Tribolium castaneum: one gene and its partner. The protein of the gene in region 2 purifies or fractionates together with the protein of the main gene of each other region. This does not show direct contact. Links are inferred from orthologs where the notes say so. Each region holds a gene or a part of one and is shown on either strand. Other genes may lie near its edges.

The links. Proteins that work in one complex are often made in the same cells at the same time.
Region 1: the proteins of Raf (region 2) and raptor purify together in Homo sapiens (affinity purification with mass spectrometry; 3 studies listed by BioGRID and IntAct, with this or other methods). This does not show direct contact. The link is inferred for Tribolium castaneum from reciprocal best matches to the Homo sapiens genes BRAF and RPTOR.

Annotation. Positions count from the first base shown.
Region 1 is NC_087399.1:3,462,964-3,466,182, forward strand, and holds part of raptor (regulatory-associated protein of mTOR), read right to left. Parts: intron 3,195-3,219; coding exon 3,094-3,194; intron 3,040-3,093; coding exon 2,522-3,039; intron 2,465-2,521; coding exon 2,390-2,464; intron 2,343-2,389; coding exon 2,085-2,342; intron 2,034-2,084; coding exon 1,024-2,033; intron 978-1,023; coding exon 628-977; intron 1-627. UniProt on the Homo sapiens protein: Component of the mechanistic target of rapamycin complex 1 (mTORC1), an evolutionarily conserved central nutrient sensor that stimulates anabolic reactions and macromolecule biosynthesis to promote cellular biomass generation and growth.
Region 2 is NC_087400.1:7,671,102-7,675,554, reverse strand, and holds the end of Raf (raf homolog serine/threonine-protein kinase Raf), read right to left. Parts: intron 1,909-4,453; coding exon 583-1,908; 3' UTR 443-582; downstream 1-442. UniProt on the Homo sapiens protein: Protein kinase involved in the transduction of mitogenic signals from the cell membrane to the nucleus. Phosphorylates MAP2K1, and thereby activates the MAP kinase signal transduction pathway. Phosphorylates PFKFB2.

The DNA of each region.
Region 1 (3,219 bases), on a different chromosome or scaffold from region 2:
AGCAAAAACGCAGTATCTTAATTTAATTTTTCACTAGCCCGAAAAATAACTTATTTAACCGGAATCTTTGAATGCCTTACTCTTTATCCAAATATTTAGCTAAAAAATTTCGTTTTTTAAAGATAAATACTACTCAATACTACTACTTAAATGGTAAAAGCTACTAAGTTAGGTAAATACAATTTCAAGCAGTTTTCAGTACAACAGCAATTAATTAATGAAATATTAACATTTACGGGATAAATTTATGTAATAACGCAAGAGATAGGGCCAATCTAACTAACGATTAAAAGTTATATATTAGTGCAAATGTATTCTTTGCTAATTAAATTATAAAATATAGTTTTTTTACAACTACATAAGTAATTTTTATTTAAACAAATAGAATATAAGCGACCGTCTTTAACACATTTTGTAGATGGGAAAAGAAATATTCTATTGCAGTTACTGTTTATAAAAAAAAAATTTTGTTTATTAGTTTAGACAAAGAATTGCTGAGTATTTAAATAATTCTAAGCGCAAAATATGTAAAAAACTCATTTTTTCAATGGTTGTTTATTATGTTTTTGCGAATAATTCGCCGCATTTTACACAAGAAATTGTAAAATTTGAAGAACAGTTCCTCACCTGTCATAATATCATAGGCAAACAGCTCCTTCTCCACGTCCCAAAACCGGACAATCCTCGAATCCCCTGCCGCAATGCACGTCTGTGTGTACTGCTCCCACGCCAACAGCGTCCCTGAATATTTCCACTTCAAATCATTCAAAGCCTGCCATGCACTTATCAGAGTCGGTTCGCGACTGTGACCCGTATTCGGCTTCCAAACTTTAACACTACCATCGTCCGAAGCCACCATCAACATCGCCACATCATGGGCATTGATCCACTCCAACGAAGTGATCCGACTAGACCCAGCCTTTGCCGACTTATTATGACACACTGTCGTCTTAGCCCCAGTCCCCCAATCCCAAATCCTAAACCAACCAATCAAACAAACAAAACTACAAAAGGTAAACAAACCCGAAATGATCCTTCCCAGCCACTGCGATTTGCTGGTCAAAGGGGTGAAACTGGAGGACACTGGGCGGGAGCGAGGTCCTAGTGTTGAACAACTGAGATTCGAGTTTTGACGAAAGGATACGCGAAGTTTCGTCCAAAGCCTCCCGTCTTATATTATTATTCCTGGTGTACCTCCAATCGCGTTCGTAAAATTGGGGCGATTCGACGTCAAAGCCACTCTTTCGCTTCGATTGCGCGAAGCGTTTGCACGACCATTCGATGAACTTCGTACTCACTAAAGCCTTGCGTTGCTTGATTTTCATGTCGGTTTCTTCGTTGATGATGTTGGGGTGGATTTTGCGCCCCCTTGGGGTGTATTTGGGGATGTCGGTGGCGGGGTGGAGAGTTGGGGGGCTTTCGCCCGACAGGTAGTTCCCCCGGTTGGGGCTCGGGGGCAAACTTGCACACTTGTTATCGACGAACTCGCGCGATTCCTTCACTTTGTTTGCTATGTACTTGGTTATAGTCTTACACATTGATTCCACTTCGGGGTGCGGGTCGGTTTCAAGCGAACACAAAGCGTCCCATATTTTCATGTAAATCGAACCGTAGCCGAGGCCTGGTAACGTGCCAAGGCTGCCGGTGTGGCTGAGGGAGCCTTTCATTTGCCCCATGTTGTTTATGGAGGAGCTGGAGGACACCCGTTTCATTTTATCGACACTGTCTTCGGAAGTTCGTAACCGGTCCCGGCTGCCGATTCGTCGCAAGCCGGGCGAAGTCACGTTGACTTCTTGCAAGGGATAGTGACTTAGAATCTCCTTCATTGACAAAGTTATAAACACGTGTTCGAAAGCTAACACCACCCATTGGAGCGCATTTACTAATTCTTTACGGACTAGATGGCTCATGTCATTACTGACTTTCTTAACTAGGGTCATAACTATCGCGTGGTCGATGTTATTGGCGTGTTCCGAACGCTCGGTCACCGAATTTATAAACGTACCTAAGGCGTAAACGGCCGCTGCCCGAACCTAAAGCAAAAAACAATTTTTTTTATTGAAATAAAAAACAATCAGTGTTACCTCTGGGCATGGGTCGTTCAAAAGTTTGTAGAGTTTTTCATGGGCGATGTCTCTAACACCGGTCCAGCGGGCGTTTTCGTAATGATCCCATAATTTCCCTAAACAAATAGCGACCCATTGTCTCAACTGTGAACTGGGGTCGTTCAATTGTTCCAGACAGATACTAACTAGGGAACCTTTCAAGGCCGCTTCTTGCCCGTCGTGGAAATTGTTAACAATTGACGCCAAAACAAAAGCCGACTGTGTCCGATATTCCGACTAAACCGACCAATCAATTCGATTAAAACCACACTGAATCAACTCACCGAAAGTGAAGTGTCCTGAAGTACCGACAAGAAATATTTATGGCCACTGTCCCTCACCAAGTCACCTTGACACGTCTGAAAAACAGTCAGACCAATTATTGACTGCGACCAAACCACCAACAACTTACTTACATTATCAACAGCTAGAATCTTAGCCCAGATGAAAACCAACAAAGGCCTCAACTCCTTAGCACTACTCTGTAATAATTTAAGAACGTATGGGAAAATCCCAACAGACAAGGCCAAATTAACAGCCCACGGTCCCAAATCGAGAAACCGCCCCAACAGTTCAAGCGCTCGCATCCGATGGACTTGACTGAGTAGGACTTGTAAAACAATTGGCAATTGTTCGGGTGGACTGCGCTCCTCGCATCCGAGTTCTAGCCAAACTTGGAACGCGGTCAATTGCTCTTCGAAGAAAGGCAAGTTTTGGAAAGGTTCGTTTCGGTTGATGATTCCGGGAAGTTGGCCGAGGCTCAAGTCGAGGGCTAGGTCCCATGCGTTCCACATGGGGTGTTGGGAGGTTGGTGGTAACAGTGGGGAACTGACGGGAGTGCAATCGCACGATTTTAGGATGCGTTCAGCGAGGAGGAAATTACGGAAAAGGGACGCAACGAGGAGGTCTTGACGGAAGAGTTTTTGAAAAAGATCTGGAATTTTTGTACTTGTATTTTTTTCGAAGGATTTGTGTTTATTTAACCCACCTCTCTGTAACGTATTCCAGGCTATGGTGTCTGTAATTGCTGTAAAGATCCAATTAAGCTCACCGAGCATTGTGCGGCGGTCGGTTATTTGACCCGGTATTCTGGGAAAATGAAAGAAAAAATAAT
Region 2 (4,453 bases):
TTGTTAGTCGTTCACAACGCCAAGAAAATGGCAACACTTGCCTTCAATGAAAAACCCATTTTAAATTAAAAAAATAATATCAAATTGTTTCTGCTGTCCTAATGATCAGTCAGAAAATCGTATTTACTGTTGCGACAAACATTATTCAACATGTTTTTAATGGGGAGACAGGAAATAATCCAAATAAGAAAAAACAATCACTACAGTTTTATGAACTTATTTAATTTGAAACTTAAATTCTGTACCCTGGTCCAAAACCAGGAATACGAAATAAAATTGAATCGAAAATTTTATCAGTTTTTTTTCGGATTTCAACAAAAAGTTTCCAAAGTCTTGACTTTTCAGTCCAGTCAAAGGTTGGAACACTGAATTTGGAAAGCAAAGATAGATTTTCAGAATCTTCGAATTTCGTAGGATGGGATGGAAATAAGTAAACGCAGTATATTTTTTTAAGAATTTATTTAATACGAAAACAAAACAATATTTAAATTTAAATACTTGACAATAACTTAATGATAACCTCTACTCAAGCCGTATCACGCACTCTCACTCGTCCTAAACGTCCCTCTTGGCGCCCTCCCCTCAGATATTACCCGTTCCTCCCGAATAAAAAAAACTCGACGGTCCGAACGCCACCGGTGTTTTCGGACTAGCACACGGATAAATAAAATCATCAGACTGGATCTGCGTCCGATTCATGTTCGGTTCGGACGCCGATCTGTTAATTTTCGGATGACTCCTCAAAAGTCCCTCCAACGAGGCATGAATCTGCCTGAAAAGCGGTCTCTCGTCCCGATTGAACTTGATACAGTCTTCAGTGAGTCGTCTTAAAGCTTTGGGTGTGTCGGAGCGTAGTTTACTCATGTCTGGTTTGAGGTACCCCCTCCCCACCATGAACAGGATTTGGTCCTTGTTGTTGATGTGGGAGTAGGGCAATTGCATTGCCAACATCTCGAACATAACGATCCCGAACGCGTAAACGTCCGACTGGAAGCTGTACGGGTTGTCCTCCTGCATCCGGATCACTTCTGGCGCCATCCAGAGGATGCTCCCCGTCGGCTGGTGGAACTGCTTGGAGCCCGACCAACGGATCTTGGCCGTGGCTAAGCCGAAATCGCCGATTTTGACGGTTAGGTCATCGTGTAGGAAAATATTATTCGATTTGAGATCTCGATGGATGATATTTTTCGCATGGAGGTAGTCCATTCCTTGTGCCGTTTGTCTCCCGATTTCGATCAAAGTAAAAAGCGCGAATTTCGTCTCGTGCACGTGGAGATGCTTGTACAAGCTCGAACTCTCGCACCATTGCGTCACGATCGCCAACTGCGGCTTACTAACACACCCCATGAACAATAAAATGTTCACGTGTCGCGTTTTGCGCAGTACTGCCACCTCGTTCTTGAAGGCTTGCAGTTGTGCCAACGTTGGTATTTTAACGTTGAGCGTCTTGACAGCGACCGGGCCGTGCCAATGGGCCTTGTAGACCGTGCCGAAGGAGCCCGAGCCGACCCGATGGCCGACGAGGATCTCGTCGGCGGGGATCTCCCAATCCTCGATGCTCTCGCGAGGGGCGAGGAGGGGCTTGCTCTCGTCGGCGGAGCGAGCACGGGGTCGGCGCGGCTGGAGGGAGCCGGTGGGCGAGGCCTGGGTGCTGTGGTAGTGGGGGAGGCCGTCGTCGATGCCGCCCCGGGTCAGACTGAGGGACTTGGGGCAGTCGTCGCCGGGGCCCTTCACGTTGTTGAGGCAGACGTTGGGGGCGGAGCTGGAGCGGTCGTGGTGGCCGAGGGTGCCAGGGTGGCGCGGCTGGCGGGAGAGCCCCAGGCCGGCCTGACCTGGGTGCAGGATGCCCGCGCTGAAGTCCGGAGAGCGGGCGAGGAGCGCCCGGTAGTAGGCGTCCGTCATACGAACCTGGGGAAGCGAGATATTTTTGGTTCGACGTCAAAACGCAAGGGATGGGAGAAAATGCAGCAAATCATTCCGAAAAGCAAAATTTTGCATTCCATTTCTTTATTTTACTTTGGATAATGCCACAGACTAGTCCACGTTTATTTAGTAAATTCGGCAATCATCCAACTTCCGATAAATATTTCCAAAACAAAAAAAGTCCAGGGAGAATCAGGAATTTTGCGAGATTCAAATAGTGAATGTTACGACACTTTCAAAAATAACTCCACATTGTTTAATTGCGTAGGAAAAAACTTCTAAATTAAGCCAAATTCAAAAAAATTACAAAAACCTAGTCAGGGATTTTGTAAAGGACGAATTCCGAAAAAGCGAACAATTTTTCAAAAAAATTAAAGAGAAATTCAAACTTCCAAAGACGTAAAGTAAAAAGAAAACACTAGAAGTTAAAACAAACAAAAATTGTATTGAGAAGAATCTCCAAAAAATGCGAATATTCTCGTCATACAAATCCAAATGTAACATTTGGAACATTTTGGAAAACAATAAAACACAATGCATTTTCTTATCTAAAGTTTATTGCATGATTTTCATGTATTTGAAACATTCCATGGCTTTATCACCACCGATTGATATCTAAATTGATGCCGATATTAACTTTGAATTTATTTTATAAAAAATAAAGAAAATGCGTAATTTATTATTGTTTAACTTAGATTTATTAATACAGGGTGCTCAAAAACTGGCGCACCAACTCAGTGGTACGTTATTGAGAAGCAAGTGCAGATTACGGGAAAAATGTTGAAAAAATTGCTAAAGTTATATTTTAAAAAATCTGGAGCTACAAACTTATTGTGTTAACTTCTTTAGTTTTCATTATTTTTTTATGTTTTTATGTTTCACACCAGGTAATCGTTCCGTAACAAAACGATGAATAATTATTTTAAAATTTACTATAAGATTTTAGCAGTTTTTTTAATTTAAAAAAATTAAATTTCATCCAAAAAATCACAATCTGTAGATGTGCCAACACTGGGAATTATTTCCTAGGAAACCGTTTCAAAAATAATTTATTTTTATTGCGATCATGACTGTTAGACAACGTTGCCACATATCATTTACCTAAAATTAGTTATTTATCAATAACTTTAATACAAAGAATTTTTTTACTACTTTTACCTTTATATGTAACCACTTATCTACCACACACCATTGAGTTGGTGCGCCAGTTTTTGAGCACGCTGTATATTTTCAAATATGCCTGACTGAAGAGAGAGAGAGAAAAAACAAGGATGAATTACAAGAAAATACAAAGAAAAGTCCAGTAGGAAGAATAGAAATAACCAATGAAATTTCCCAAAGAATTTCATGTCACGAAAGTGTTTTATTTTGTTTCAACTTTTCCAATTTTTTTTACCGTGTTTTCTTTTTTTTTCTGTCACATTAAAATGAAGTAAACACACTTTTTTATTTTCATATTGCATAGCTACATACCAATCTAGAGTAAATTTAACTCGGATTTATAATCTCGTGCTGCCAATTAGGAAAATTTTAATGAATCAAATTAATACAGCTTTCAGTTTTTTGAATTTTTGCACATTAAAATGCAGAAATGAAATAAAGACACTTTTTATGTCAATACTGCATAGCTACATAACAATCTAGAGTAAATTTAACTCAGATTTATAAACTCGTGCTGCTAATTAGGAACATTTTAATGAATCAAATTAATACAGCTTTCAGTTTGATATTTTTTCCATCAACATGTGCAACTAGAACATTCAACTAAGTATGTTACGTATTTTTGAAAATGTCATACAAATTACTAAAACAACAGTAGATTTGCGATTATTATTTGTCGTCGTTACCTTTTGCAATACGAGAAGTATTTTCTCGCGACGTTATTTTAATCATTTTGCGAATGTTCGTAAACAAACTGGATCGTTGAATTCACAGCAATTTGCAGTAATTAGTCAACCGACACCTATGCGCTCTGGCTTTATTCATGCTCAAATAAACACGGCTACGATGAATCTTATGCCTTTTCAATCCAGCTGTTTACCGTTTTTAATAAAACAAACTAATTTCTTGATTCGCCAGATTTATGCGCTTCACTTATAGTGCGTTAATAATAACAACTTTTAAAAGTTAATAAGGATATTTAAGCTAGTGTTGAAAAACTTCCATTGCAATCTTGTAAAAGACGATTACTTAAAGCAAAATATACAGCTGGAATATAAATCATAACTTTGATTTAAGGCGATTTTGGTAAAAATTCCCGAAGCAGGTCAATTTTTATGTTTCCTTGCCTACTATTTGATGCATATGGTTTTTGTTTATCTGCTGTCAGAAATGCACAGCCACCTCTAACTTCTTGTTCAAATGTTAATGGTATGCCAAGTGACACCTCGTATGAAAGCCTTTTTCGCAAGCAATACAACGCACTATTTCTTTTTTAAATTTTTTCAAAGCATACGTGATAAAAAATAAAAACCAATTTTATAAGTTGAACATTATTTAATGCAACAATTGTTCAAAATGAGTACCGTTC